4 linked regions of the Struthio camelus genome follow. The protein of the gene in region 3 purifies or fractionates together with the protein of the main gene of each other region. This does not show direct contact. Links are inferred from orthologs where the notes say so. Each region holds a gene or a part of one and is shown on either strand. Other genes may lie near its edges. The genes, in order: XPNPEP3, NES, VIM and GAN.

Region 1 (7,274 bases), on a different chromosome or scaffold from region 3:
ATATAAATTCCAGAGTTTTCATCCTAGTTCTCCTAACAAGCAGTTCAAGAGAAGTCAGACATAACAACTAAAAGAATGACATCATAGGGACCAGAGTAGGTGAACCAAAGAAATCTGTTCTTCTGCACATCAAAAGGGAACTGTAATTATTAAAGGATTTTAGAAGTGTTAATAGCTAAGATTCAGGTTAGCACAATGCTCAGAAATTAAGATCTACACCTATCCATCTAACGCTTACTGAAAACACTGCAATATTTCTTTTATACAACAAGACTTCTTCAAAGCCTGGCTCACCTACTAGGTCTATCGGAAAAAGACTGAGAACCCTCTAATTCAAAAAAGGTCAAAAATTGATTCCCAGCTTCCATCATATATTTATGAAATGCAGGATTAGAATTCCAGAGCAATTCCAAATTACTGGTCTCAATATCAGCTGTTTGTAAGTCTGAAACCTAGAAACATCCCAAGGCTGGAACAACTTGATTAGTCTCTTCTGCCCCCTTCACTTGCCCAACCCCCCCTACCTAGGGCTTTATTAAAGAATCGTTAAAATAGTCTATGAGATGCGCTTAACCGGTATTTATGCACTTCCCAATACGGTATTTCAGAACTGCCGAACTGCACAAACTGCTTTCACAAACACAGTTTTATTCCCAGTCCCTTAAAAATACTGTTACTATCTAGTTATCTTCCACTGAATCTAGATTTGCAATTCCAGAACAATCCCAAAGCAAGTTACTCTAAAATCATTCCTTAAAACACTACGATTAAACGTGCAGCGAGGACGTGCAAAATTTGCAATGCATTTAAACTCAACAGTCTACACATATAGCACAGGAGTTACTCTTGTATGAAAACTCAGTTACTGAGCAGTATAAATGCACAAAAAAACCCATTTTAAAATAAGCCTTTGCGCGGAGACCTGGTGAGAGAATTGGGCAATTCAGGTAACTACACACGAGAATTTGTAAGGACTCCGTTGTAATAATGACTCCACACTTCCACTGATCACAGTGATGTGAAGTGCTGCTTTTCTGACTTCTTAGAACTGCAATTGTCATTTCTCCATCCAGTTTGCTCACTTATACCCAATTATCTTTAAAGATGAACCGGATTACAGAAAATTCAAAGGGACAAAATCTTCCTGAAAAACAACAAAGAGGCAAAAAAAACCCCACCCCTGTTCATGAATTGAGCTTTGTGCCTTACTTTTAAGGACTGCTATTGTTTTCTTTGTTCAACTGCAGGTTTTTGAAATACAGCCCCTATGTAACGACTCCCTTTACAATGATTCATGTTAAAATATTTATATGTTTATGCAGTTATGAAAGAAATAAGCTGGAACAAACAGGACATCAGAACCCTTTCCAAATATAATCATACATTAGTATATTCTTTACAAGCATCTATAAATAAATGAAATAGATCAGCTATACAGAATAAAGATCAGTAGATAACAAGTACATGAAAACGTGAAAGACGACTTAAGGTTTCTGACGTAACATTAACATTCAGTCAGAAATCAAGCACCACCCTCAGGCTTCCCCAGCAATTAGCATCATTCTCAGTTTTAAGAAAACGTCAGATCAATTATATTAGAATGTTAGCTGAAAATTTCATGATAGATTTCAGTATCATTTAGTCAGTACTGTGTAATCATTTGCAACATTACCCTCATGACCAAACCTAAGCCTTTTAAATTAATACAGGCAAGCCTGACAAAGATATGACAAAACCGATCAGATATATTTCTCCTGAACCTGAGCCATTGTAAGTTTCAAGTAGCTTCTGAATAATGAGAAAACCCTAAAAAAAAACATGTCATTGTCTGACTGCAAACATTGCTATTATGGAAGGGAACTCGCCAAACTTCCAGTTTGACATGAGAGGTAGTTTGGCTACTACTCCAAATATTCAAGTATATAATTTACCCAAATATTTAGCTTAAATAAGTGAGGAAACAATAAACATTAAGAGAGCTCTATAAGGTCCTGTTTTGAGTAAGTTAACATCTGAGACAAAGACAGCCAATAAAGTTTTTCCATAGAAAAAACACTCCACACCTCCAAACCTAAATTTTATACTTACAATACATGCAAGAAAACACACACCCTGGTACTAACCAAACATAAACACTAAAAATGAATCTGCAAGTTAGAGCTTTCCATATCAGCATGGAGAAAATTAGAAATCAGAGGCTCCACTTCCCTAACACTTTTTTTTGGCCAAAAGTTAGTGTCTCCCTTCTCTGCCCAATACTCTGTTCATACTTTCAGAATCATACAACAGAAGAATAGAATTAAGTTCGGGTGAGTGACTGAGGTCTTTTATACATTAGCAAAGGGGCTGAGGACCCGCACTAGCATACAAGATAAGTGCATCACTTTCCTAGGCACACGTGCAGCTACAATCGTTACTGTAAAACCAAGCAAAGTTAAGTAGGTGTGTTTTCACTATTGCATGAGTATACAATGTTTTAAAAGGTTTAAACATCAGTTTAAAAAACAGATCCAACAAATAGCTTAAAGCAATCTTCGTTACACAGCATACTGTGAAGTGCCAGTGCTTACTTTAAAAAAGAAAGAAAAGAAAAAAGCAGCCCACTAGTTTTCCAACTAATTACAACAGGGCAGAAAATGCCATTAGAATACTTTCAGATGCATTTCACAGCAAATTCAAATTTGACGCTGAATAAAAACTTTTTCTCCCCTGAGAGGTGTATCTGCGAGGACTTCCCTCATTGTTTCACGTTTTTCAAAGCAAGGAGGGATGCGGCCCCGAAAGTTGAACAGATAGATGTTTCCCCAGTTGAACATACAGGTTCTGTGGGGTCTCTACGAGCAGTAACAGACTTCAACTCTTCCAACTTCGAGTTTTGGGGGAGATCCAGTGACGTTTTCATACTGAGAAGCATCTGCCACGACAAGCTTCAAATGCACCAAAAAAAAAAAAAAAAGGAACTACAGCCTTAAGCAGCACACGTACGAAACGCCTCAAAGGGAGCAAGACTCCAACTGCACGACACGCGAAAACTTCCAACAATTAAGCAAATTTGTGGCACGAACCACTTCTCGCTTTGAGCTGCGAGATATTCAACGCTTTGGGGTGCCGGGATGTAAATCAGCGCCACTCACCTCCCCACAAACTCGCATCCTTTTAAGTCAGGCTAGCCAACTCTGCTGAATAATGCGAGAATTAGCTCGCTAAATATTACTCCGGGGCCTTCCAGCCGGGGAAGGTAAGCCACTGAAATGGCCGGGGGCGGGGGGGGGGGTGTACATTTGCAATGAGAAGAGCGAGCGAGTTTAAAGAAAAAAAAAAAAGGAGAGAGACTCTACATATATATATATATCTATATATATATAAAATATATATATAGTATGCGTAATATATGTAACACACGAGCCGTAACGACTGCGCGCCGGACCTGCGAGGCGAGAGGGCAGCAGACGCTCGGGGGGGGGGGGGGAGGGAGGCGAAGGGGGGAGCGCGGCCCCCCCCCCCACCAGGGGCGGCCGCGGGCGATGGGCCCCCCCCCGCCCCCTTCCCGGCCACGCGGCGGGGCCGCGCGCCGACACGTGCCGCCCCTCCCCCACACGGCCCCGCGCGGGACCACCCCAACAGCCGCCTCAACGTCTCCGCCGCCGCCGCCCGGCCCGGCCCGTGACCGACCTCTCCACCCACTCGCGCAGGAAGGCCAGCTCGTCGGTGTGCAGCAGGCCCGGGTTCTGCTTGCAGAGCCTGACGAAGGCCCGCAGCTCGCTCAGCTTGCGCGAGTCCATGGCGGAACGGCGGGGAGGCCGAGGCCACGGCGGCTGCTGCTGCTGCTGCTGTTCCTGCTGCTCGCCCACTGCGCGGCGCAGCGCAGCTCCGTCCCAGCCCGCTCGCCCGCCCGCCCGCTTCCCCGCCCAACCGCCGCGCGGCGCCGTGGAAGTTTCCAGCCCCCACGACGCGACACGATACGACATGACACGACGCCCCGCCCGCCGCCGCGGCCCCGCCCCCACCCCGCCGCCGCGCAGCGGCCGGAACGTTCTAGAAGCGGAGGTGGCCGTTAAACGGCCGACCTCCCTGAGGTGCGGGCGTCGCTCTCCTCAGTGGCGTCGCCCGCCTCTCCTCACCGCCGCCGGGGCCGCGACCGTCCCGCCGCGCGTCCCGCCCGAGCGGGGCGCGGGGCAGGCGGTCGGCGCGGGCACCTAAGGCAGCGCTGCGCCGCTCATTGGCGGCATCGGCGGGCGGGGCGGCGGCGCCCGCCGATGGCGTCAGGCGCTGGTGGCGTCCGTGCGCGCCGGCGGCGGAAGGCCCCGCAATGTGCGCGCCGGGCCGGCGTGGGGTGGGGGTGGGGGGGACGGAGGGGGTCTGGCGGGGCGCGGCGCGCCGCAGCCATGTCGCGCTTGGCGGCCCAGAGGCTCGTCCCGGCGGTGAGGGGCTGGCGCGGCTTCTCAGGTCAGAGACTCCTTTCCTCCCGCCTCGCTTCACCTCAGCGGCCCGGTGCCACCAGGCCCTGCTGCCCCCTTCGGCCCTGGCCGGGGCTGCCTCTGTCCCCAGGGCCCCGGGGAGAGCCCGGAGCGCCGGGGCGGGGGGCTACTGTCGCGTTAAGCGTTGTCGCCGTTCAGAGCCTGTTGCCGTCCATCGCTGGCGGCCCGGCGGCGCTCGGGGCCGGGCGAGCTGGGGGCCGCGCTCGCGTCCTGCTCCCTGCGGCGTTGCGGTGGGCGCGGGGGGGAGGTGACTCGGCGGCGAAGTCGTGGCTCCGGTCGTGGATAAATCTGAGGAAAGGACGAGTTCTTACTTGAAAAATAAAGCAACAATTTGGAAAGCTGCCCGCTGTGTTCAAAACGTTGTTTTGTTTGATGCCTGTTGTGTTCTCTTGTCTCGCTGCGAGATGTCCTGTTTGTCTTCCCTGTAGGTAGGTAGACACAAGTGAAAGCTGTCTCGGTTCAGACTGCACAGAAAGCAGTAATTATACTTTATTGTTTAAATTTCCAGACTGTTGTGGCAGTCAGACATCACATACTGAAACAGATAGTATACTTTAAGCTATGATATTCAGTTGTCCTACATAAATAATCTTTGTTTAGTAGATAGTCATATTGGTTCTCTCAGAAAATCCAGTCTGTGCATACAGTCTATGCATAAGTCCCTGTGTCTTGGCTTCCTGAAAGGTAGGCAGCTTTTTTTCTTGTGTCCATGTGCAACAGCTTTACGCTTGCTTATGCCATCAAAGAGCTGATTATCACTTCTGCTGAGAATCCGGTACTGTGCCAGAGCTGCATAAATTGATTTTATAGTAGGCACGTGGCAAGTGACGTAAAAGAATTAGTTAACAAAACATCAGCTGTTAGAGGTTAGGAAACTGATTACCGTCTCCTTGCCTGTGTTTGATAACTTGTATCTAGACATAAGCAATACTTCAATTGCAAATGTAGTTGAGAAATCCGGAGTTGGTAAGGTTTGTTAGGGCCAGCAGAGAGAGACATATTTCACGGTATTTAATTTTATCTTGCGTCTTATTGTGCCCTCCTCCAGCTCCCCAATTCACACACAGCTGCCTTGCGTAAAGCTGTTTTCTTTGGCAGCATAAGTGGTTTGTGAGATTGGAAATGGGGTACATAACTATGCTCCTGAGGAATTTTTTCCAGTTTGGCAAATATTGCTGCTAAGTAAGCTAGATGCATAACAGATGAGGGAAACTTGAGTATCTTCCCTCCAAAAAAATTTGTACATTACTGTAAAAGCAGTAGTATTTGATGGCTTCTTTTTAGTTAAAAAAGAATTGGAAAGGCTCTAAACGCTGATTGTTACATAGGAGATGGTTTTTGAGGGTGTAATCAAGACATGCTGATATGCAGGCGACCTGGGTGATTGTGATGCTTCAAACCTTGCAGTGTCTGAGGGGAGCGAGGGAGGGAGAACACTGAGCACATCACGAACGCAAGATGTTGAAACTGAGCGTGTGCAAACTGGCTTAGCTTTCTGTGTTTCTGTGCTGGTTTGTCAGTATTTAAGTATGTTGATTTCTTTTAATCTGTTTTATGGATATTTGATCATTAGTTGAGTTGTGTACAATGACAATTTTATGAGCAAACGTACGTGCAACAAGTTGAAAAGTTAAGAAAGGATATTTTTGTGATAGAGGTTGAATTAATGCTATTAAGAGTCAGATGACTGGAGTGTAATTTTGCAATTTGATATTTGGAAAGGTCTTTTACCTTGATGTGATGTATTTCTTTTCCTCTAGCTTGCAAGTCATGGGCTCTCCGGAGACTTTCCCTCCAGCCTGCCCAGCAGAAGAAGATTCCAAACCGGTATTTGGGTCAGCCCAGCCCCTTCACACACCCACACCTTCTCAAACCAGGTTAGGTTTCAGGCCCTGTACGAGCCAGTCATTGGTATTCTTTCTTTCCTCTGTTTTCCTGAGATAATGATTAGGACAGAGTATTGATTTGCAGCATGATGCAGGTGTCCATGATTTCACCTGTTTATGATTAGCTTCATTAGGTAGTAACTATTTAGTAGTTTCCCTGTCTGAGGTGATACCGATTCCAAAAATAAGCTTACATGTTGGCTTTTTTACCTTTTTCCCAAGGAGTGTTCTGTGTCACTGATTAAAGCACTGTAGATGTTTTGTGGCAGTGGCATCTTGTAAGCAAATTGTCCTGCAAGTGCAGTATGGTTTATATTAGGGAAGACTCTTTTGCATAGACTAAACTACCAGAATACTTCATGTACAACATCTTGTGAGTCAAAAAAGAGAGGTGCAATTCAGAAAAAGTTTGGAGAGAGACTTACTGAGAGATGAGCGCCACTTGCTTAAGAAGCATGTTCTTTTCAGAAAGGCCTTCAAGCTACGAAGAAGAAAGGGAGACTAGTCACTATAAGGTTAGCAGGTACTGATGGAAAAGCAGTTGAGAGTGTGCAGGGTTGTGAGATTAGGGACAATGAGCATGTAGATGTGAGGTGACAGCGATAAAAACTTAAAAAAAAAAAAAAAAGAAAGTAAAAAATATATTCAAGAATGAGTCCAGGAAAATATGCTGTGTACTTTTTCTGCAGCTATATATACAGAGAGAATGGGGGCGGGGGTGTATAACATATGTATAAATTGTAGAATAATTCAGGTCAGAAGGAACCTCAAGAAGTCGTCAGATCCACTCCCCTGCTCAAACCTCAGCTACCTTCAATATTAGATCAGGTTGCTCAGGGCCCTGATTAACAGGGTACAGTAAATGAGACTGATGCTTAAAAACTACTCACAGCTGAAATACTGGAGATTG
Region 2 (7,778 bases), on a different chromosome or scaffold from region 3:
GTGGCAGCAGGCGCACAACCCTTATCAGACATCAGAGAATCCCCTGCTCCCGTCCCCGGACGCAGACCCACAGAAAACCACATGTCGACTCAGCTATCGGATCCTTCTGCCCCCCTTCCTTCGCTCCACCAGCCTCTTCCAGCGATTTGGAAGAAAAATTGCCTCTCGGACGGGCTGCCCGGACGCAGCCTCCCGCCAAGCCGGCTCCGGGCTGCCGGCTGCCCCGACCCCGCATCCCGCCGCCGCAGGCTCCACTGCCTCCCAGCGCCCCGTCTCGCCGGCCGCAGGCGGCCCCGTGGCGCCCAGCTGTGTCACAGCCTTTCACGGTGCGGTGAAAGGAGCCCCGTGGCCCAGCTGTTCTTCCTCCTCCTCCTCCTCCTCCTTCCCCCCGCTCGGGCCCTGCTCGAAGCCACGTACCAGCGCCCGCTGCATGCCCCCATGCCAAGCTCGCTGGCAGCCAGCCAGGCTCTGGCCCCTGGGATGCCACGTGCTCCAGCTCAAATCAGACTTTCCTGGTCTCCCTGCATCCCACCAGGAGGCAGGAAAAGCCAGGCCAGGCGGCCACAGAGAGGAAGGGGTGCGTGGACATCCCCGTCCCAGGGGGCTCCTCACCCCCAGCATCCTGTAGGGACACACAGTCGTCCCCAGGGACTCCTGACCTCTACAATCCCAGACATCCCCATCCCAGGGGACTCTTGACGCCCAGCATCGCAGACATCCCCATCCAGGGAGACTCCAGACCTTCAGTATCCCGCAGGGACGCATGAACATCCCCAGCCCAGGGGACCCCCAACCTCCAGCATCCAAGACATCCCCAGCCCAGGGGACTCCTGACCCCCAGCATCCCAGATATCCCCATCCCGGGGGGCTCCCAACCCCCAGCATCCCAGATATCCCCATCCCAGGGGGCTCCTTACCTCCAGTATCCCACAGGGACACATGGACATCCTCAGCCCCAGGGACTCCTGACCACCAGCTTCCCAGATCATCCCATCCTGGAAGACTCCTGATCCTCAGCATCCTGCAGGGACACACAGACATCCTCAGCCCGGGAGACTCTTGACCCCACACCCCACACATCCCCGTCCCGAGGGGCTCCTGCCCACCAGCATCCCACAGGGACACACGGACACTCTTGACCCCACACCCCACACATCCCTGTCCCGAGGGGCTCCTGCCCACCAGCATCCCGCAGGGACACACGGACACTCTTCACCCCCACACCCCACACATCCCCGTCCCGAGGGGTTCCTGCCCACCAGCATCCCGCAGGGACACACGGACACTCTTGACCCCACACCCCACACATCCCCGTCCCGAGGGGCTCCTGCCCACCAGCATCCCGCAGGGACACACAGACACTCTTGACCCCACACCCCACACATCCCCGTCCCGAGGGGCTCCTGCCCACCAGCATCCCGCAGGGACACACAGACACTCTTGACCCCACACCCCACACATCCCCGTCCCGAGGGGCTCCTGCCCACCAGCATCCCGCAGGGACACACGGACACTCTTCACCCCCACACCCCACACATCCCCGTCCCGAGGGGCTCCTGCCCATCAGCATCCCGCAGGGACACACGGACACTCTTGACCCCCACACCCCACACATCCCCGTCCCGAGGGGCTCCTGCCCACCAGCATCCCGCAGGGACACACGGACACTCTTGACCCCCACACCCCACACATCCCCGTCCCGAGGGGCTCCTGTCCACCAGCATCCCGCAGGGACACACGGACACTCTTCACCCCCACACCCCACACATCCCCGTCCCGAGGGGCTCCTGTCCACCAGCATCCCGCAGGGACACACGGACACTCTTGACCCCCACACCCCACACATCCCTGTCCCGAGGGGCTCCTGCCCACCAGCATCCCGCAGGGACACACAGACACTCTTGACCCCACACCCCACACATCCCCGTCCCGAGGGGCTCCTGTCCACCAGCATCCCGCAGGGACACACGGACACTCTTCACCCCACACCCCACACATCCCCGTCCCGAGGGGCTCCTGCCCACCAGCATCCCGCAGGGACACACGGACACTCTTGACCCCACACCCCACACATCCCCGTCCCGAGGGGCTCCTGCCCACCAGCATCCCGCAGGGACACACAGACACTCTTCACCCCACACCCCACACATCCCCGTCCCGAGGGGCTCCTGTCCACCAGCATCCCGCAGGGACACACGGACACTCTTCACCCCCACACCCCACACATCCCCGTCCCGAGGGGCTCCTGCCCACCAGCATCCCGCAGGGACACACGGACACTCTTGACCCCACACCCCACACATCCCCGTCCCGAGGGGCTCCTGCCCACCAGCATCCCGCAGGGACACACGGACACTCTTGACCCCACACCCCACACATCCCCGTCCTGAGGGGCTCCTGCCCACCAGCATCCCGCAGGGACACACAGACACTCTTGACCCCACACCCCACACATCCCCGTCCTGAGGGGCTCCTGCCCACCAGCATCCCGCAGGGACACACGGACACTCTTCACCCCACACCCCACACATCCCCGTCCCGAGGGGCTCCTGCCCACCAGCATCCCGCAGGGACACACGGACACTCTTGACCCCACACCCCACACATCCCCGTCCCGAGGGGCTCCTGTCCACCAGCATCCCGCAGGGACACACGGACACTCTTGACCCCACACCCCACACATCCCCGTCCCGAGGGGCTCCTGCCCACCAGCATCCCACAGGGACACACGGACATCCTCGGCCCCAGGAGGACTTTCCATCTAGTCGCTCATCTGCCAGCCAGATGGTGCCAGGTCGGCCGGCGAGGGGACGCCGGGCTCGACGGGGCAAAAGCTGCAGAAAAGGCCGGCGAAAGAGGCCCCGGAGGGGAAGGAGAGGGGGAGCGAGGAAAGGGAGGAGAGACGTGCATCGAGGGCCTCCTTGCGGCAGACGCCGACGCTCAGGCCCCGGCTCCCTTCGGCCGCTCCTGGGAAGCCGGTTGCCCACGCGAAAAACGAGCCTTGAAAAGCAGGGCAGCCCCGGAGCCGCGGGAGCGAGCCTGCCCCAATTAGCATCCCTTAATTAGCAAGCACTGGCTCCCAGGGCTGCCTTAGCTCTCCCTGCCAGCGGCCGGTGCAAAGCGCCGGAGGGCAGCACCCAGCCGGGGTTTCTGCGGGGAGGGATGGACGGACGGACGGATGGGGAAAGGCAGCCCGGAGGCGGCGAGCCGGGCTCCGGCACGCGGCCTCCGGCTGCTGCCGGGTCAGACCGGACCCGTCGCGCTCACCGCCTCTCCGTCCCCATCCCAAAGGCAGAGGGACCGCGTCCCGTAATTCGGCGGAGCAGAGGTACCTCCTGGCCCGGCTCGCTGCTTTCCCGGGGCCTCTGCACCGCCGACGGCCGGTGCCCGGCCTGCCCATCGCGTGGCAGCACGAGGAAGAGGAGGAGATGAAGATCCATCTCCAAGCCGGAGACCGATTACCCGGCGCAGCCTCCCCTCCGCCCCTATCGCTTAATGGCATTTCAATCCCGGCCGCGAACGGCAAAGCAGAGCCGGGGGGGGGGGGGAACTGGGGGAACCAGACAGGATGTCTGGACGCAGATTTAGCTGGAAAGCCGATCCCCTCGGGGAGCACCCGCGCGGCCGAACCGGCGAGGCGGCCGCCCCAAAGGGGCCGGGGACGGCGTGCGCGGCCCCGAGAGGCTCGGTGGCAGCTCGCCGGTGGCCTTTGCCAGCAGAGGGGACTGTTGCTCGTCTCTCGGGAGGCAGCGCCAAGCCCTCGGGATGGCTCCGGAAGGGACTTTTGCTCTTTTCTCCGTTGCACAGGACGAGGACAGAGCAGGGACCTTCCTGGGAGGGGGGGGAAAAAAAAACCCCACCGTCGCACTGGGAGAGAAAGAGCTGGTGAAAAGTTTCTATCCGAATGTTTTTTTTTTTTTTCCGGCTCTTTTGTTCGCAGAAATCCCCAAGGTTGGATTTTTGAAACCATCCCCGCTCCTCCCCAACCCTCTCCCCTCCCCCTGCAAATAAATCAGCTGGAAAATTAAGAAAAAAAAAAAATTCCCCAAACGCTCCCCCGCGAAGCGATTCGTAACCCCACCGTGAAAGATCTGCCCCCGGCGGGTGAAAGCCGGCAGCAAAACCAAACGTTGGGCTGGCGCCTGCCGAGTTTTTTCGGGCCGTCGGCGAAACCTGCGGCGATCGGCCGCCGGAGCCCGGCTCCGACGGGGCAACATCTGGAAAGAGAGAGATTTGCAGCTGGGAGGAGCACTGCGGGGAGACGGGGGGGACGCCGACCTCCCCGGTGCCCCCGTCCCTGGTGGGGGGGGACAAGGCGGTTGCTGCCACCCTGCCCTCGGAAACGTCCCGAAAGGGCCGTGCCGAGGGTCGGCGCCAGCTCCGGCACGTCGCCGCAGCGATTCCCTGCACGGCAATCACGGCGGCTTTGCTGGGGAAACTGAGGCACGGCAAGGCATCCCCCCCCCGGCTCAAGCGCGCAAAGTCGTCGGGACGGTGCAAAACAGACCCCCCAAAAAGCAGGAGGGGGGGGGAATGGAGCTGAGCCCCCGGCTGGGGTGCCCACGTGGGACCCACATCTCCGGGGAGGGGGCTGCTGCTTGCCCCCGTGCCGGTCGGGACGGAGCCATCCGCCGCGGGCTGGGGCCGGCGGCGAGCTCCCGCGTCCCCTCTCCCCAGCGGGCAGGACGCACGCGCGGGGCCACCAGCGTGCTGGCCGCGGAAGAGTTAACCCCCCGCCTTCCTCCTCCGCCTGGGTCTCAGGGGCCTCCCCCTCACCCGGCGTGGAGTATGAATAGCTCCGCTTCGCTCCTCTCCCAGCCACTCGCTCCCGCGCCTGCCTTTCCTCTCCCTCCCCTCCCCGCGCCGGCCGCCAGTGCGTTTCGGGCAGCGGTCCGGGCACTCACCGCCGATGCTGAGCATGGAGGGCTTGGTGGGCACCAGAGCCCTGGGCGAGGAGTCCCTCCAGATGTGGGACCTCAACAAGCGCCTGGAGGCTTACCTGGCCCGTGTGAAGTTCCTGGAAGAGGAGAACGAGGTGCTGAGAGCCGAGATCCAGAGCGCCAAGGGCAGCCCAGGAGAGGACTCGTGGAGGACCAAGTACGAAGAGGAGCTACGAGCCCTGCGGGCCACACTGGACGATGCCTTCAGGGAGAAGTGCTCGGCGGAGCTGGCCCGGGACAACCTCTACGAGGAGATCCAGCACGTGAAAAGCAGGTGCCAGAAGGAGCAAGCAGCTCGGGAGGAAGCCAAGAAGCAGCTGTCCATGAGCAAGAAGGAGCTGGAAGAGGAGAGGAGAGCTCAGATCTGGCTGAAGGAGAGAGCCCTGCAGCTGGAGAAGGAGGTGGAAGCCCTGCTGGAGGTGCACGAGGAGGAGAAAGCAGGGCTGGACCACGAGATCGCCAGCTTCTCGCAGAGCTTGGAGAGCTTTCGCTGCGTGTCGGTGGCTTTCCAGCCCGTGGAGGTGGAGGACTACTCCAAGAGACTCTCGGAGATCTGGAAGGGGGCCGTGGAGACCTACAAGACAGAGGTGTCCCAGCTGGAGAGCTCCCTCTGCCAAGCCAAGGAGAACCTCTGGAAAGCAGTGGAAGACAACCAGCAGAGCCAGCTGCAGCTGCGGCACCTGGAGAAGGACCTGGCGGGGCTCAAAGCGCGGAAGGACATGCTGGAGGAAAGCCTGTCGCGCCAGTGGCAGGAGCAGAGAGGGGAGGCCGAGAAGTTCCAGGTGGGTGAAGGCAGGAGGGGAGAGCTGCCGCGTCGGCACCCCGTCTCGGGGAAGGCAGCGCAGCCCGAGGGGGGAAGGCACCCGCCGCCGGGGTAGGTGGAAGCAAAGCCAAGGAGGGAGCAAATCCCAGGAGGAAGAGCCCTGGGGAGGACCGGATGGCCCGGCAGCAGCTCGGGATAAGTTGCAGCTGGGAGACGAGGCAGAGGGCGGGAGGAGGAGCAGCTCGGTGACATCCTTGGCCCTGGGACAAGAGGGACCCGAGGCGGCACCGCTGCAGGGGATCCCCTCTGAGCCAGCGGGTCCTCCCCTGCGCCCTGACTCGGTTTCTCAACCGGCCGGGAGGCTTTTCCCCTCCGGCATCGGCGGATTTTCCCAGGGGAAACGGCAGCCCCTTGCCATCGCTCCCCCAGCTGCTGGGAGCCGGGACCGGGGTCAAGCCGGCGGGGAGGCTTAAAGGAAGGACAAACTCCAGCCGACTTCGCTGCAGCTGCGGCCGGACAGCTGCAAAAATAATTCAGCGGAGGAGGCTACGGGCGGGGGGGGCCGCGGCGGAGAAGGGGCTGGAAATGCCGGGAACGGCCAGGGCCCGCCGACGGGAGCAACCGGCACCGCGGAGCGCCAGCCCCGTGGGCAAGGGGTCCCTCTTTGTTCCAGGTCCGAAAGCTCCAGCGGAGCGAAAGGGCGTCGCGGCCGCTCGCCCGAAACGCGTCTCTTTCCCACGCCGGCGTCGCGCTCCGGCTCCCGCCGCCCAGCCGGCCTTTTCGTTCCTCCTCCGTTCGGCCGCCTCCGGCTCACGCGCTTTTGGCGCCCTGCTCCCTCCTCTCCTCGTGCATCGCTCTCCTCGCTGCTGCCTTCCCTCGGTGGCCCCGTGCCCAGGCCAAGCGCCCCCAGCACCCCTCACCCTGCAGCATCCCCTGGGATGCTCGGGGACCCAGGGAAGCATGAGCCGCTCCCAGGGTTTGCACAGACCCCGGCAAGCGTGTCCTTCCCCCGGTGCCGCCGATTAGGAAGTAGACGCTTGTTGGAGCCAAGTCACGGCCAGCTCACCCACGTCCTTTGGCTCCCATGGCAGGAAGGGGGACGGAGCGATTATTTCCCGTGCAACCAGAGGGCGAGGACGGGGAGGAAGAGCGCCCAAGGGGAGGGAGGGATCAGCCACCAGTGAAAGCCACCCAGACCCCTCACGCTGCTGGTGGGGTGGAGGGGGGGGGGATCAGCCACGTCCCAGCTCGAGCAGGGACGCAGGCGGGCGGCAGAGCAGCCCTGACCTCGTCGTCCCGCCGTGCTTGCTGCCCGCAGCTGGCGCTCGAGGCCCTGGAGCAGGAGAAGCAGGCTCTGCGCGTGCAGATCGCCCAGGTGCTGGAGGACAGGCAGCAGCTCATGCACCTGAAGATGTCCCTGAGCTTGGAAGTGGCGACCTACAGGTGAGGTCCCCGGCCGGGCCACCGCCGCGGCCAGCTCGGCGCCCCCTCTCCCAGCCCGGCCCTTCCAGATGGCCTCGGACAAAGGCAGCCTGGGAGAGGACTAGGGGGGACAATTAGCATGAGAATAGGGGCAGCCCCGGCGAAGGGGCCTCCCCGCCAGAGCATGATGTCACCCGGCGCCGACGCTAATCCCGGGGCCGGGGGGATGGGACGAGAGCCCCGGCCAGGGGGGAAGCTCCTTTGCAAAGAGCTGCAGTTCCCTGGGGAAAGGGCTGCCCCGGCCCCGCAGCCCGCTGGGTGCCCCGGACCCTGCGCCGAGGCCGGGGCTGCAAGCAAGGCTGCCGGAGCGACGCTGTGCAAAACCATCCCTAGCCCCTCCGTGCCTCAGTTTACCCCTAAAGCAAGGGAGACCTAGCCCAGGGGCAGCTCTTGCACGGATGCTCCCGCCGCCGTGCCCACGTAAGCCCACTCCTCTCCTTCCAGGACGCTGCTGGAAGCAGAAAGCACCCGGCTGCAAATGCCCGCCGGGGAATACAAGCTGGCCAACGGCTTGCGAGGTAAGAGAGCGGCGGCCAGCGCACGGGGCTCGGGCCGCCTCGGCGCGGCCGACGCCGCGAGGGTTAAGGGGACGG
Region 3 (7,849 bases):
GGCAGGTTGATACAGAAAACATCCTCTTCTGGCAACTGGAAACCACAGTAGAGGGGAACTTAATGCACAACAATAATAATTTTGTAAATGTAAGTCGTGCAATTGGGTGGCATGAGTCACACTCGAAACACTTCCCTAGTGATGAAAGCCCCAGAAGTTTCATATACTTCTAATTACATTAAAATATAATATTGCAGAGAAACTTGGTTAGTTTTAAGTATATAACCTAGCCATTTCCTTGAAGAAATCAGTAGCTAGTCACACCACTTAGATGTTTTGTAACAATGGCAACTACCACAGGCAATATAATTTTAAAAATAAATTTCATTAAAGAATTTGTCAGTTTCTTTCTTAAGTCCTTAGTTAGTCAAGGAAATTATTCACAAGGGAGGACTTAAGTGCCTGAACATTTAGGTGTTCTGCTGCCTTGTGGTGTTCAGACCCCCAAATCAGCTTATCTCATGCAATGTGCAGGGAGAACTACTCCCTGGGTCCAGGAAAAAACAGCTCTTTTCCTGGACTCTTAGGAAGTTAACCTCAGCTAACTTGTACAAAATGCTAAATTGAGGCTACAGTGAACACATCCCATCTTGGGGACTCTTAGTCACGCTTAGCTCCCAGTTACAGGGAGATACCTGCTGCTTCTGCTCAGGATTTATAACCAGAATCTTTTTTTTTTTTTTTCTCCTCAGAAACAGGAACCTAGGACCTTTCTGTTTTCAAATGACTGAAGACTTTGTCTTTTTAAACAAGGACGTCTTCTTCCTTTTTAAAGGAGGAAGGACTCTTTTTCACCGGTAGTTACAGAATTCACACAAGTTTAGGTTCCAGCACTTGGTGTGTCTGCGTATTACGGTGATTCCCTATTCAGCTCGCTGTAGGACATTCAGGGTAGCAATCTAACAGTCTTTCGTATCCTCATGTGCAGACTGGTCCATTTTGCTTGGAGTTTACTCAGTATTCATGGGGCCATGGGAAATGTGAAGAAATGTCTCCATAGCGCAATGCATTCCAGTCCATCCTCTGAAAAGGATTTAAGGTTGCTTTATCGTACTGACAACAAAAGTGATTGCATTTGCATAGCAGGATATTTTTCCTGGATGCTTAATATTTATGGCTCATTTTATACATCGTGGAAAAAATGAGCATTTCATGTTTTAAAGTAGAAGCTTTATTAAAGGGCACAAATCTGATTAATGAAAGTATTCAAATCTTTTTGTTTAGCAGAAGTCTGTAGTAATGGAAAAGCACATTCAGTGTCTGGGCTAACTTACTCTAGTTTCCTACTGCTTAAATAAAATGGCAAATCAAAAAATATGAATGCCATTATTTTTGGAAATGTGTTCAGACCTACACATAGTTGTTCAAGAAAGTCAGAAAAATTTTGGGTTGCATGAGACTTTCCCAATTTTAGTAGAACAGATACCAAAGCAGTTTAGGCATCTGTACCTTCTCCCTGTTCACACCCGTTATTCACTGTTAATGAGAGTTACACAGCAATCCAATATTTTTTGTGACACTTATTCAGCCTTATTCCTTATTTCAGTCTTGGCTGTGAATCAATGCATCAATTCCCTGGTGAAAAGGCAGAAAATACCAAAATAAATTAGCTGTGGGAACTGAAAGGCTCATATTAAAAATCTCTGTTTCTTTTCTTAAGTGTGCCAGTGGCTTAGCTCTGATCTGCCTCTACAGAAATGCAGGTGAGAGCAGTACAGCAAGCTGAAGGAGCAGCCTGTCGGAGTACTGGAATTACAAATGAAGGCATAACAAGAAACAGTGCAGATGATCCCTTACTAATGGACTAGTTCATGAATAATCCTCAGTGTGGTGTTCAGTGATGTGCTATTAGCTGTGTATCCTTTGCATAAGTAGTAGTCAGCCTCCTGACCAGCCATGCTCTTTGAAAATCCCATAGCACTTTCCTTAAAATTAGGCAGAGTACTGTGGTTTCAGTTCAAACAACTACACTCTGCAAGATTTCTATGGTTACACTTAGATACATTATTTCCTGACCAGTTCTGTAGATATCTTTTTGCACTTCAAGAAGACAGCAGTTCTAGTTCCCCTTTGGGGTTTGGGATGCAAATGTGGGTTACGTTTATTACAGCCTTACAGGAAATGTAGAGCTTACTCTACTTAGGTATCTATGTAAGTGCCGACCAGCAAAAGGCACTTACAGGTTTATTGTAATCCTGGCAATTGACAGTATCATAACACTTCTAGGAAAATTTGATAGTGAGAAACAGCAATGAGGCAGGTGGCCAAGAGTACATATGGCAGAAGTGACATAACATATGGAAATTACACTTGAAACATGGAGGAAAGGGGTAAATGTATTTGCTAAAACAAACACCTCCCTGAGTTTTAGGGGCAAAGCAGTTTCTGAGTGAAGGATGACTGCTGCATGTATGCGCCATAAAGAGATTTTGTGGAGTACAAATAAACTATCTTCTGTTAGGAAGAACAGAGGGTTGAATGGGAATAGTGCACCTTTAAAAAAACAACCATCTCTTAAAACTCCCAGCACTTCTGAGTAAAGCATCTTTAATCTATGAGGCTGTTTGGTATGTGCTGCTTTACTTTTTTGCCTGCTCATACAAGGAGTGTGTACTTTTGTGCCAGGATTCACAAAGGCTTATAGCTCAGACTTGATGGCTTAAATAAAGAGCTCTCAGAGGGCTGGAGAGCCCGGCAGAGGCCGGGCTGGGATGGCGGTACAGTCAGCCCCAGGAATGCTGTGTGACCTCTGCCTCCTATTCAAGGACTGAATGAAATGAGCTGTAGACCAGGACTCATGCTGCAAGCACTTCAGTAGCTCAACCTTGTCAGCTTCGTTTGCTTGACTAAGCTTCAGTGAACAATAGCAAATTAAAACCTCACAGACCTACGTTTAGCTACAAACTACGTTCCTGTAACTTCTGGTCGCCATTCAGAATCAAACTAAAGCACAATCTCCAATACCAAAAAAATTTTAAAAAAATCCTCAAAAAATCCTTTGTGCTCCGATTCCTCCTCATGAGGTACAATATCTGACGAATGCAGGCTGACTTGACTGTGAGTTGGGATGCGAAAATTACCTTCCTCTGTGCCCTGTGTTCATGTTCAGGTTTATCAGAACTTCCAGTAAGTATATTTGCTTCTGCAGGACCTCAAGTTAAAAACAATTAAAAATTAATGGTAGTTTTGCATCCCATAGATGCTGAAGTACTACATTATGGATCTCTCTACATTCATACAGAAATCAATCTTAAGGAGTTTTTTTACTGCCAAATTTCATGCAATATTGCTATTGCCCTGTACTTCCTATATCATTCTTCTCTGTTACTGGTAGCCCCATTTTGATAGTAAAATTGCTCTTGAATCCCTGGGATTTTTATCTGAAGCCACAGACAGAGGATACTTCCAGATCGTGACTAACAAATACTTGTCATTTCACTGGGTGCTTTCCTAAGATTCTGATCTTGTGCCTACTGAAATCAATGCCAGCGTCTGTTGGGTACAACACTCGCAGACCCAAACCTTGGTTAAATTCAAGCCTGCCTCTCTCCTAGTTATGAGAAGGGTTGCATCCAAGAGCAGGAGCAAGATCTTCATTGCAGCTATTCCAAAAACGTATGCTAAACAATTACTTATGGCCTGGGACCAATGTTAAAATAATGACAGAATTCAGTGTGCCTCTTCACTAAGCCATGTAAACGCTCACCCAGATAAAGGGAAAAGGCGTATAGCCTGGGAACGTGTGTTGAACAGAGGCGTTGAACTAACACCGGGGCAGAAGCTGAGATTGCTGTGACAGGAGGCAGCTAATGACAAAAGGAGACACAGGCAATTTATTTCCCTGCCTGTTTATTTTGGACATTTGGCAGCCCTTTGTGAATAGTTAATAACACTTTGCCCTGATTGCATTGTTTCAGAAAGCTAAGAAAGAAAAGAAAAAAAGAAGTTCTCCAGCAGATAGATTATACTGTTTTGTTTTTTTTTGTTTAATAATCCTCCTGTGCTGTGCTATTTGAAGTATTTTGGCTGTGGCTTAACCTTAAAACTGGCAACCTTCCTTGCAAGTCACGGCGCTCAGTCAGCGCAGGAGCGCACCAAACTCAAGGGTTAGCTCAACGCGCCTTGCCGCCCCGCCAGCGATGTTGCTTCGCGCGCCGACCCCCGCGGGCGCGCAGCGCGGGGCCGGCGCCGCCGCCGCCTCTTCCTTCGCAGGGCGGCGGAGCGCGGGCCGTGCCGGCGGCGCGGCCGCTGAGGCGGGGGAGCCCCGGCGGCTGCGCGGCGGGGCGGCCCCGGCGCCGGGTCCCCGCTACGCCCCGGACCCCCCGCCTCAGCGGCCGCCCCCGCCCGCTGCCTCAACGGCCGCTCCCCCCGCCTCAACGGCCGCCCCCGCCCGCTGCCTCCGCCTCAACGGCCGCTCCCGCCCCCCGCCCGCTCCCGCCTCAGCGGCCGCCGCCCCACAGCCGCCGCCCGCGGGGACGGCCGCGGTCCCACCGGGACTCGAGGCGGGGGGAGGTTTGCCGGCCCTGGGGACTCAGTCGGCAGCGGGGGAGAGATGCCGCGGGCTGCCTGCGGGGAGGGGGAGAGCGGCCGGCCGTTACTTTTTCCCCTCGCCGGCGTCCCTCAGCCCCCTGCCGCCGCCGCATCCCGCCCGGCCCCTTCCCGCGGGGCCCTGAGTCACGCCTCGCGCCAGCCTTTGTGTCCTGGCCGGGCCGGGCTGGCTGCAAACCCCCGCGCCCCCCGCCCCGGCCCCGCCCGCTCCCCCTCCCTCTCCCCTCCCCCTCCCCCTCCCCGCGGGGCGAGGCGGTGGCGGGCGGCGCGGCCATTGGTGGCGGGCGGCGGGCGGGGCGGGCCCGGCAGGGGGCGCGGCGCCCCATAAGTAGGGCCTGGGGCGGCGCCCCCCGCTCTTCTTCGCTCGCCTCTCGCCGCCGCGCAGCTGAGCCGCCCTCCTCCGCTCCCGGATTACAAAGCCCGCGCCGCCGCCATGAGCATCACCACCAAGAACTCCTCGTACCGCCGGATGTTCGGCGGGGGCAGCCGCCCCAGCACCGGCACCCGCTACATCACCTCCAGCACCCGCTACTCGCTGGGCAGCGCCCTGCGCCCCAGCAGCGCTCGCTACGTGTCCGCCTCGCCCGGCGGCATGTACGCCACCAAGGCGACGTCGGTGCGGCTGCGGAGCAGCATGCCGCCCATGCGGCTCCACGACGCCGTGGACTTCTCGCTGGCGGACGCCATCAACACGGAGTTCAAGGCGAACCGCACCAACGAGAAGGTGGAGCTGCAGGAGCTCAACGACCGCTTTGCCAACTACATCGACAAGGTGCGCTTCCTGGAGCAGCAGAACAAGATCCTGCTGGCCGAGCTGGAGCAGCTCAAGGGCAAGGGCACGTCCCGCCTGGGCGACCTCTACGAGGAGGAGATGCGGGAGCTGCGCCGGCAGGTCGACCAGCTCACCAACGACAAGGCCCGGGTGGAGGTGGAGCGGGACAACCTCGCCGACGACATCATGCGGCTGAGGGAGAAGTGAGTGTGTAGGGCGGGGGGAGGAGGAGGAGGAGGGGGGCGGCGGCGGCCGCCCCTCGGGCCGAGGGGAGCGGGTCGGGCGCGGCCCGGCCTCGCGCCGCCGTCCCGGCTGCCCCCGGGCGGGCCGGGGCGGTGCCGCAGCCCCCGCGCCGCGCGGGCGGTGCGGAGTGGAGCGGCCGGGGGCGGGGGGCTCTCGGGCGGGTGGGGGCCGCGCTGCGCCCTCCTCACCGGCTTCTCTCCGCTCGCAGGTTGCAGGAGGAGATGCTGCAGCGGGAGGAGGCCGAGAACACCCTGCAGACCTTCCGACAGGTTGGTCACCGCCCCGACCGGCCGGCCCGTGGGGGCGGCGGGGGAGGGGGCCGCCTAGCGGCAGCGGCGGGCCCGTCCCGGCCGCGGCCGCCTTGCCGCCGCCGGTGACTTGCAATACTCGCGCTCCCCCGGGGCACCCAACAAACAAGGCAGCCGCCTGTATTTTAAGCGCGCTCGAAATAAGCAGCTGCCGTTCCCGAACCGCTGTATGGGAGAGAAAGTCCTGAGGTAGCGGCTGGGATGGGAGAGTGGGACTTGGAGTTGTGCTTCCCTTGCACAAAGGAATTCCATCGGTTCTCATGCACAATCTCCTTGTTTTCTTTAGGTTGATGCCACAGTCCAAGGGGGAGGGTAAAAACTATTGTCTTGCTTTATCCAAGTCTAGCCTATTTTACAAAAGGGCTCCGATGTGGAATCACTTTCTGATCCAATAAAAGTGAAAGGGGAGCCATCTGTTCGCTTGGCTGAAGGGTATTAATGGTTTCTATGGGATTCACCGTGGAATGCAGATACAGGCATTATGGCAAGTGTGGTGGCAGCAGATTGAAATAATAGAACTCTTTGTGTCCGAGGGGAGGGTGCAGTGGGCTGCATTCTTACTAAATGCGTAATGATGTAAGCATATTTCTAGAGAAAAGTGTCTGTCATGTATATGGTCTAGGCCTTATACAAAACAGAATTCCTTTTTTTATGAATCACTTCATAGCGCTACTAGAAAAGTTTTAAAGTTAAACTCTTTTGTATTGGTGTTGATGTCTGCTGATAAGTAGACCATTTGTCCCTTGGTGAGGTCACAGCAGTCAAGTTTTTCTCTTCTTATCGGTTTAAGAATGTAGAATTTAATCCTATGCAAACAAAGTTGTTAACACAGGAAAGCAGTTTAGTCTCGGTAGGAAGCTACCATGTTATCCAGATCAGCTAAAAGCTACATGATAAGTAGAACTAACTCTTCCAACAGTGTTGAAAAAGCTCTAAGCTCAGGTTTTCATTTGTGCAAAAATAGCTTTCAGTTTGGCTTAAGCCTTGTTTGGACTAGGAGATATTTAGGAATGCGCCTTCTCAAAACAAGATCTCATCCCTAAACCTGCTGGTGTGAAACAGCATTGCTAGAATTCTTCCCAGCTGAAAGTGACCGCCTCTATCTACAGACAGCTGGGCTCAGATCTGACTTGGTCACAAAGCTGTTCATATACATTAGTAGATGTCGCCATTCGAGAAGTCATCACTTGATTGTCAATATTTTCTTGGGCAAGGTTTTCAACTGCAGTATGCTTATATTCTCTAAAGGAGAACAGATGTCTTAATGAGATAACATGTAGAAATTAAGACAGCAACTGTCATTTAAAGTCTGGGAATTTAAAGTCTCTGTTAGTATTCTGGGAACAGAAGTTTGAAAAAGAAGAATTCAAGGTATGAATTAAATTCAAGCCTTAATTTAAGCTTCTGATTTTTTTGAATGCTAAGCCAATTTAAACGTGTGCAAAGGTCATATGTTTCTGCACTGAACTTTACTTTAGAGAATCTAATCTAGTCAGATTCTTTGCTGAATTCAGCTGGAGGATCCTTTGACTTAAGGTGGCTGGCTTAAAAGATCTTGCATGCTCAATTGTTCCACTTCAAGGCATGGCTATCTCCATCTCAAACTGATTCTACTTTTTTGTAGACTTAGACTCAAGGCCTTAATGAACTTGGTTTTATACGTATTCTACAACATTTATTATCCAGTTAATGCTTATGCTTTAAGGGGGGGGGTGGTCATTCAGAACCTCAGCCACCAGCAGATCTGTATGTGCAGTACAGCTAGGCCAGCTATATCCGTTTCACCTCTAAGGTACAGAATATGTAAAAATTGCAAATATTTGTGGATATATTACACTAAATCTGTGTATGTCTGAACTAGTGTATTATAGTGTGTTTAATTTGAACAATAGTAATATCTAACTTATCATAAGAGGGTAGGCTAAACATGCAGATTTTAAAAACTACATCTATTTAAATAGAAGTACTGTCTTTGGTA
Region 4 (7,097 bases), on a different chromosome or scaffold from region 3:
TGAATAACTTGAAACAGAATATATGGTTTTATGTAGCATTCAATTACACTTTAGCAGTATTCAATCCCAATGTTATAAGCAGTTTGTATTTAAATCAGTTTTGCTTGGGGATAATATCTGATATGACATTTCAAGTAATTAGATGATTGCATTGTCTAAAAGATAAATAAAAAGGTAATATTTGTTAATACCGTTCATTGTCTTTTTGTCTCTTTGTTAATAACAATAGGCATATGAATGAGAACAGTGTATTTCTAGCATAACTGAGATACACACGTTCAACAAATTGTTTAGGTAGAAGAGTGAAAGACTGAATTTAGACCTAATCTGAACCACTCAGTAGCTAAAACTGCAGTGTGTTGTTGTTGTTATTGTCTAGGCATTTACATTATTATCTGCTCAGGAGCATCCAAGTTCTGATGCAGGCTGATCATTGCCTTTAACAGATGCTTCCTAACAGAAATACACAATTCTCTCATTCACACTCACAGTTAAAAAGCATCTTTCAACCCAGAGTTCTAACACCTGGTACGCTATGTCTGTTTTTTTGGTATAGGAATGGCCCATGAGTGTATTTCTGGTTTTGGATTTGGGGCATGGATTTTTCTTTAAATGAGAGCCTTTGTTCTTTAAGTTGCATTTTCCTATTTTAGATCCTTTTACTGTTGAAGAAAATTAGCGGTACATCTATCCCTGTTCAGTGTTCGCTTGGTCTGTATGTATCATCACATGATCTGGGTAACTTCAGCTCTTCAATATACCCATCATCACAGCATCTCTGCTACTCGCTCTTTTTTACAGGTAGGAAACAGAATGAAATCATTGTAATTTTCTGTCTACCTGTCAGATGAGAATCTGGCCTTTGGTGACTTGTTCATGATTGCATAAGATGTTTACGGCAGAGCAAAAATTGAAGCAACATCTTCCACGGTTCTTGCTTGCACTGTAACAGCGGTACCTCCCTTCCTCTGCTTAAGTCTTTACAGTTTATAAGTATAAAGAATCTACAGCCTATTTTTAACGTAGAAAGTGTCACCATGGTCTGAATTTAGAGTTTAGGTATGCAGCTGTGGGTGTTCAAATATTTATATATTCCATAAAATGGAAATAAACACCTCAGCAAGATATGTCTGCAGAAATGGTCATCTTTGATGTTTTCAAGGTGTTATTACCACTACTATTTAAGAGAACTTTATCATCTAAAGGAGAAACTGAATTCCATTTGTATAAGTAACATGGAAGCAGGACTAAAATGGAAGAATGATTTCTGACATTGGGAAAGTACCACTTAAAAGAGATCAGCTGTAGGGCTGTTTTGTTTTGTTTTTTTAATTTGCAAAAGTTTATATTTAAAAAGTTACTATAAAGATTTCTGGAGTTATAAAGAGCTCATAAAACAAATGTCTGACCACTATTACAAACCTCTTTTTAAGAGTTTGTGTCCAGAATTTCATCTGTGGAATACATTGTTTTATGTTTTTGGATGATCATGATTTTGGATACAGGAGATACTTGGCTTCTGAGGAGGTAATTCACACTGGACAGAAATAACATAATATGGGAACATCCATCAAAAAATAAATCAGATTTGTTATCTAACATCTAAGAAAACAAATACGTTATGTTCATTTAGAAAGACATCAGAAGATAAATTACAAGAACTTGTTTGGGGTATGATTTTTTAAAGTTAACTTAAAGAACAAAGTGCACTGTATTTACTTGGTCAAAATTACACAGGATGTGATTAGTATGATGTTTGCAATCAACCTGAAAAGAGAAGCATAGTGATGTAAATCTAGATTTGCCAATCCAAGTATTCGATCCAGGTCCTACTGCACCAGAAACAACGTGGTTCAGACTGTAAGTATGTTTAATCGCAAATTTGTTCAAGAATGTTTTTAGCAGTTGCACTAGTAGCCTGGTGAAACATTTAAGGTGAAGACGGTAATACACAATATCATGTCCAGGCTGACAAAACCCGTGGGGAATGCCTGTAAGTTTTGCCAAGTGACTGCAAGACTTGTGGTTTTTTTCTGTTGTAGCAACATGACAGATGGTAGCGAGTCTGTCATTTGCTGTGCTTCCCTGACATCCTTCACTATGAATTAAATGTTGAGGGACAGAAGGGTCTGAGTCGTCTTTTGCACCAATGTATATGTTTATTTGTCATAAATTAGCACCGTGAGACCAGCGGAGTTATTTTAATGGCAAAAGAATCTAGACACAGTGACTGCAAATAGAAATAGTATGAATAAGTAGCTTCTATAAATGTAAAATAACAGGAAATTGTTGAGCAACAGAATCAGGCCATAAGTGTGCATACATATAATTACTTCAAAGATGTTACAAACAGCCCTCTAGTTGTGCCCTACCAGTGTTTTTTTTATCAACAGGTTTCATTAAATGGAACAAATAACAAAACATAATAATTAATTTGTCCTGTCACAGTGGATATTATCTGTCCCATTGCCCCACATACACAGCAGGAGCAGAATCAATTAACTTGACCTATTTACTAAATATATATACAAAGAGAAAAATAATAAAAATAATAAATAAAGAGAAATACAACTGTGCTTTCCTACATAATAATCCATGCAGGAGGCATAGAAACAAGCCAGTGTTTTTCTTTTTAAATAACCAGGCTGCTCAATGACAGCTTTCACAATACTTTAAACTACTACTCCCTTGAGTATGCAATTACCAAAGTATTAATTACATCAGGCAGAATACATCTTTTGCCAGCAGTGCAAGATGCAGAGCACTCTCTGCTGTCATGAGAGCTGTGGATGTGCCTTCTCTGCATCTCTCAGAAGGAGGACAGTCGCCGTCCTGGATAATTACACCCAAGCCAGAAGAAGTGGCCTTCTAATATTTTTACGTGGGTATGTTGCGTTACGCCAATCATGCGCAGCTGGTGTTTCACAGGAATTAGTCTGTTTTTATGCCTTCCATCATGCCAGTGTGCGAAACGCGTTCACCGTTTCTTGTAAAATACTTGTTCAAAGCCGCACAGCAAGCCTGGAGCACGCTACTGCTCTCGGTGCAACCCTCCCTCTCCGGTCAGCGAAGCACCTAAGCTCCCTTGCACCTGAGCGAGGGCGAACCCAAAACGCTGCCTTAAATGGGCTATTCGCATTCTTCTGGAGCAAACACTTGTGGCAGAGTTTGGATTTAGCGAGGTGTCCGTGTGCCGGACGCCCCAGGGAAATCTCCACCTGGAGAACAGCACAGCATGGTGTCTGCTTCTGCAACGACCCCGTTGCCTGCGTAAAGCCCTTCGTTTCTCTTTCCCGGGCTGACATTTTGAGATACCTTTATTCTAATTTTTCCAGTGACACTACCAGACTGGATTAGGATGAACTACAGAATACAATTTTAAGTTTTCCCCCTTTCAAATAGACATATTCTTAAGTGCCATGCCTGAAATCACTGATTTAAAGGAGGGCAAATAATAGAAGCACGCTACCTAACATGTTTTTCCCCCAGTGGAAAGACAGAGATCTCCTCCTGCAACAGGGTATTTCACAAGCTAAGGAACCCGACTCGGCCGCCTCAGGTGTCGCCTGGGCCCGTGCTGCGCTCCCGTGTTTGCCTCCTCTCGGCAGCGCCGGCTGAAACGACACTCAAGTAGGTGACAGCTTTTAAAACACTTTCAGTTGGTGCAAATTCGGAGTTTCACGCCTGAACTATTGGACGCTATTAAAAAGAAACAGGTGGAAGCAAGCCATCCCCTAACGTGCAATAAAAGTATGTTAAATACATGGCCTAAAACCTCGTGAGAAGTCCTTTTAAAGCAAATCCATTTGCCGGAAAGGGGCGCAGGGCCAGCGGGCGGGCCCAGCCCGCTCCCTGCACCGGCATCTCGCTCGGTTTAACCCTCCTCCGCTTCAGCGTTTTGCGTGCGCACCGTGGGGGGGGGGAGGGGGGGGAAACGGCTCTACCGGTCACACGTGAGCGCCAAAGGGCAACAAGGAAAACGTTGTTCGCCACGCAGCGCCCGACGCCGCGCACGCGCCCCAGGGCCGCGGGCACGCGCCCCCCCCCCCGCGCCCTCCCCCGGGGCGGCGCGGCCCCGCCCAGGCGCGCGGGGAGATGACGTCAGGGCGCGGCGGCGGGCCGGCGGCCATGGTGCGCGGCCGCTGAGAGCGGGCGGTGCGGGGCCGAGCGGCAGCGGCGGCGGCAGCATGTCGGGGCCGAGCGCCGTGTCGGACCCCCAGCACCCGGCGCGGCTGCTGCGGGCCCTCAGCTCCTTCCGCGAGGAGAGCCGCTTCTGCGACGCGCACCTGGTGCTGGAGGGGGAGGAGATCCCGGTGCAGAAGAACATCCTGGCGGCCGCCAGCCCCTACATCAGGTGCGGCGGGAGCGGGGCCGCGCGGGACGACGGACGGCCCGGCCCGGCGCCGTGACTCGGCCGGGAGCGGCGGGTGCTGGCGGTGGGGCCCCGCCTGCCCTTGGGCGCCGCCGAAACGCGGCCCCCCCCCCCCCCCGGGCCTTTCTCCCCCCCCCCCCGGCGGCGAGCGGGGCCCCCCTGTCGGCGCTGGGCTCCGCGTCCGCCGGAGGCGCCAAGTGAGGCCGGCGCTTTGGTGGGGGTTTTGTTGTTGTTTGGGTGGGTTTTTTTTTTTAATGAGTGGGTTTTTTTTTCCTTCTAACAACACCTAAGGCTCCAGGCGGTGGTGACGGATTCCGAAATACACCCCGTCTTAAGTGTGAAGAAACTGTACGGGTTTATTCCCCCCCCCCCCCAAAAAAAAAAAAATCTCCTCTTTTTTTTATGCCCTCACAAATACGTGCGAATCTACCTCAGAAACTGCCAGCGGCATCAAGCCAGGTCCGCGCAGGTCCGCGGGCGTCAGCGGCACGTGCGGCCCGAGCCGAGCCAGAGGAGGACCAGCAGCGTTCAGCACAGTCATGGTGCCCCGGGGGCCGGCGCGCCCTTTGCCCTGGGCCGAACTTCCAGGGCAACCCGCTCCCCGGGCAGCGCTGTCGGCTCTCCTGTACGCTCAGCGGTGAAGGCGCCAATGGCGTAAAATAGAAAAAGCATACCCCGGTGGGAAGATTTTCATAGTACGGATCTGAGAGAGTGAATGAAACGTACAGGGGTTGAGTTCCATAGTTTTATTGTTTCTCTTTTTTGATAGGTCTTAGCAATTGCAGGTAATGGAGACTTTAATTTTGCCTTAGCATGTGAAGGACTGCACCCCTCGGTTTTACTTACACCTAGGGTTATCGTAAGACTGTAGCAGACGTCGGCCGTGTAATTCTGCGTGCTTTTAGGCTGTGTGATATTTTTGAGTGATGATTGTAGCAGAGCTTCGACATTCTTAAGTACAAAAATAAACTAGGAATGAATAGAACGTAAAGTTGGTGATTAAGCTTTAAATAGATGTCAGTAATGGACAGGCTTAAAGGAAAGGTTTTCTGATATTTCAAATCTAAGCGCCTGATTTTTCCATAGTACACGGACTAGCGTTATGCATCAGCTAGCAGGGCTGAGGGGTAAAATGAAATAAAATTCACGGAAATAAGAAGAGCAGCAAGGACCTGCAAAATGACACTAAAAAGCTGAAGTACTAGTAGTCATTTTTTCAATTCCTGTCTTGAGAAGCAGTTATGGAAGACTATATTGAAAGGCTAATCAGAGACATGAGGTTGAAATAAATATGAGCAGTTGATCCAGTACTCTTCAAAAATGCCAGAATGTTTTTTAGCTTGTTTTTTGTCATTACGAATCTTTTAGATGGCCCTGCATCATATCTGAAGTTAGTGTCCTAACAAAGACTCCTTGGCTGAGAAAAAAGGTTTGGTTTAGGTGGAAAGAGGCCATGTCTTGGAAAAACTGCTACTTTACTGTAATTATTGTATGGGTTTATATGAACTGTGTAATCTTTTGCTACGAAAAAGGCTACTTAATTAAAAGATATCATAAATTATTCTACAGAAAAGTTCCTTTTCACAGAATCTCCTCTTTAAGTATTGCATTCTGTCATTCACCTCTGAAAAATTTACTAGGAAACCTGAGCTAATAAAGCACACGCGAAGAGTCAGAGTGCCAAACATGACTGTTTTGTTGTTGTCAGTGTAGTTATTAGAGTTGTGGTGTTTTAAACTTAAAATCTTTCAAGTTCAGATGCCATCAAGGAACTCATTAACTATGTGTGAAGTAGGTTACACGTATTGATATATAAATGGGATTTTTTTTTAAGCTTACTCATCTTTTCTCCTTGGGCTTGCAACATGTAGTGAGCCATAAATAACACATACCAGATTTTTTTTTTATGGCATATAAACTCATCTGTCTTACCTATCTTTGCAGAGCCTAGTTTTTACCTGTGCTGCTTGTCTCTCCTCTTTCCACCACTCCAGGATCTCTTTCTTATTCCAGCTGCTCTTTCCATTGAGTAGAATTGGTTGGGTTGGTTGCTGGTATTGGAGAATTAAGTTTCTAAGCCAAAATTAGCATTCCAGTGACTCTTTTTAGAGCCAAAAATCACCGTTAGCCTGTCCCTAGTTTCTGCAAATATTTAGTCCCATTTCTTTTGAGTCTTTTTTTTAATAGAATGAGTGTGTGGTTTTTTTTTTTATTTTTTTAAATCTAAAAAGTTATTAGAGGAGACTCATGAATCTTATGTTGCAGACTAGATGATTCCAAAGCATGCTTTGGTACTTTGGTACCTTGGTACCAAAGCTGTTTAAGTCTCCAAGGTCTGTTTAAGTCTCCAAGTATCAATTGATTTCCGTTGCTTTCATTTGAAAGTTCCAAAATAAAACTCAGAAAATCTAGTAACTAATTTCAGAAATATTATTGGGTGGAGAAATGGGTGGGTATGGGATATTTACCCTTAGCAGTGGAGCAGTGGCAGGACTAGTTGGCGCTCTGCTTTCTGTTTCTGGCTCTGGCTGTGGGCAAGTTGGTGGGCAAGTTGAGAAGCTGTGTAGGGTTTGCATGAACGCTTAGTTTAGGGTGTGAGCGGGAAAATAAGTAAGCATGGGATTTTCTGAGGGGGCGGCTTGGGTGTGAGCAGAGTCTGTACGCTGAGGGATTTGTGTGGCCACAGAGAGAGGAGCGTTACCTGTTTTTTAGTTTTGCATGGAAG

Evidence for each region.
Region 1: the proteins of VIM (region 3) and XPNPEP3 purify together in Homo sapiens (affinity purification with mass spectrometry; 3 studies listed by BioGRID and IntAct, with this or other methods). This does not show direct contact. The link is inferred for Struthio camelus from reciprocal best matches to the Homo sapiens genes VIM and XPNPEP3.
Region 2: the proteins of VIM (region 3) and NES purify together in Homo sapiens (affinity purification with mass spectrometry; 3 studies listed by BioGRID and IntAct, counting the BioPlex papers as one, with this or other methods). This does not show direct contact. The link is inferred for Struthio camelus from reciprocal best matches to the Homo sapiens genes VIM and NES.
Region 4: the proteins of VIM (region 3) and GAN purify together in Homo sapiens (affinity purification with mass spectrometry; 3 studies listed by BioGRID and IntAct, counting the BioPlex papers as one, with this or other methods). This does not show direct contact. The link is inferred for Struthio camelus from reciprocal best matches to the Homo sapiens genes VIM and GAN.

The regions. Positions count from the first base shown.
Region 1 is NC_090942.1:57,098,766-57,106,039, reverse strand, and holds the start of XPNPEP3 (xaa-Pro aminopeptidase 3), read left to right. Parts: upstream 1-4,261; 5' UTR 4,262-4,385; coding exon 4,386-4,446; intron 4,447-6,238; coding exon 6,239-6,355; intron 6,356-7,274. Other genes in the region: ST13 (hsc70-interacting protein), read right to left, coding at 3,673-3,968. UniProt on the Homo sapiens protein: Catalyzes the removal of a penultimate prolyl residue from the N-termini of peptides, such as Leu-Pro-Ala. Also shows low activity towards peptides with Ala or Ser at the P1 position.
Region 2 is NC_090971.1:3,563,687-3,571,464, reverse strand, and holds the start of NES (nestin), read left to right. Parts: upstream 1-4,777; 5' UTR 4,778-4,909; coding exon 4,910-5,722; intron 5,723-7,021; coding exon 7,022-7,146; intron 7,147-7,629; coding exon 7,630-7,703; intron 7,704-7,778. Other genes in the region: BCAN (brevican core protein), read right to left, coding at 918-1,041. UniProt on the Homo sapiens protein: Required for brain and eye development.
Region 3 is NC_090943.1:23,968,596-23,976,444, reverse strand, and holds the start of VIM (vimentin), read left to right. Parts: upstream 1-4,846; 5' UTR 4,847-4,981; coding exon 4,982-5,523; intron 5,524-5,771; coding exon 5,772-5,832; intron 5,833-7,849. UniProt on the Homo sapiens protein: Vimentins are class-III intermediate filaments found in various non-epithelial cells, especially mesenchymal cells. Vimentin is attached to the nucleus, endoplasmic reticulum, and mitochondria, either laterally or terminally.
Region 4 is NC_090951.1:6,219,735-6,226,831, reverse strand, and holds the start of GAN (gigaxonin), read left to right. Parts: upstream 1-4,091; 5' UTR 4,092-4,187; coding exon 4,188-4,354; intron 4,355-7,097. UniProt on the Homo sapiens protein: Probable cytoskeletal component that directly or indirectly plays an important role in neurofilament architecture.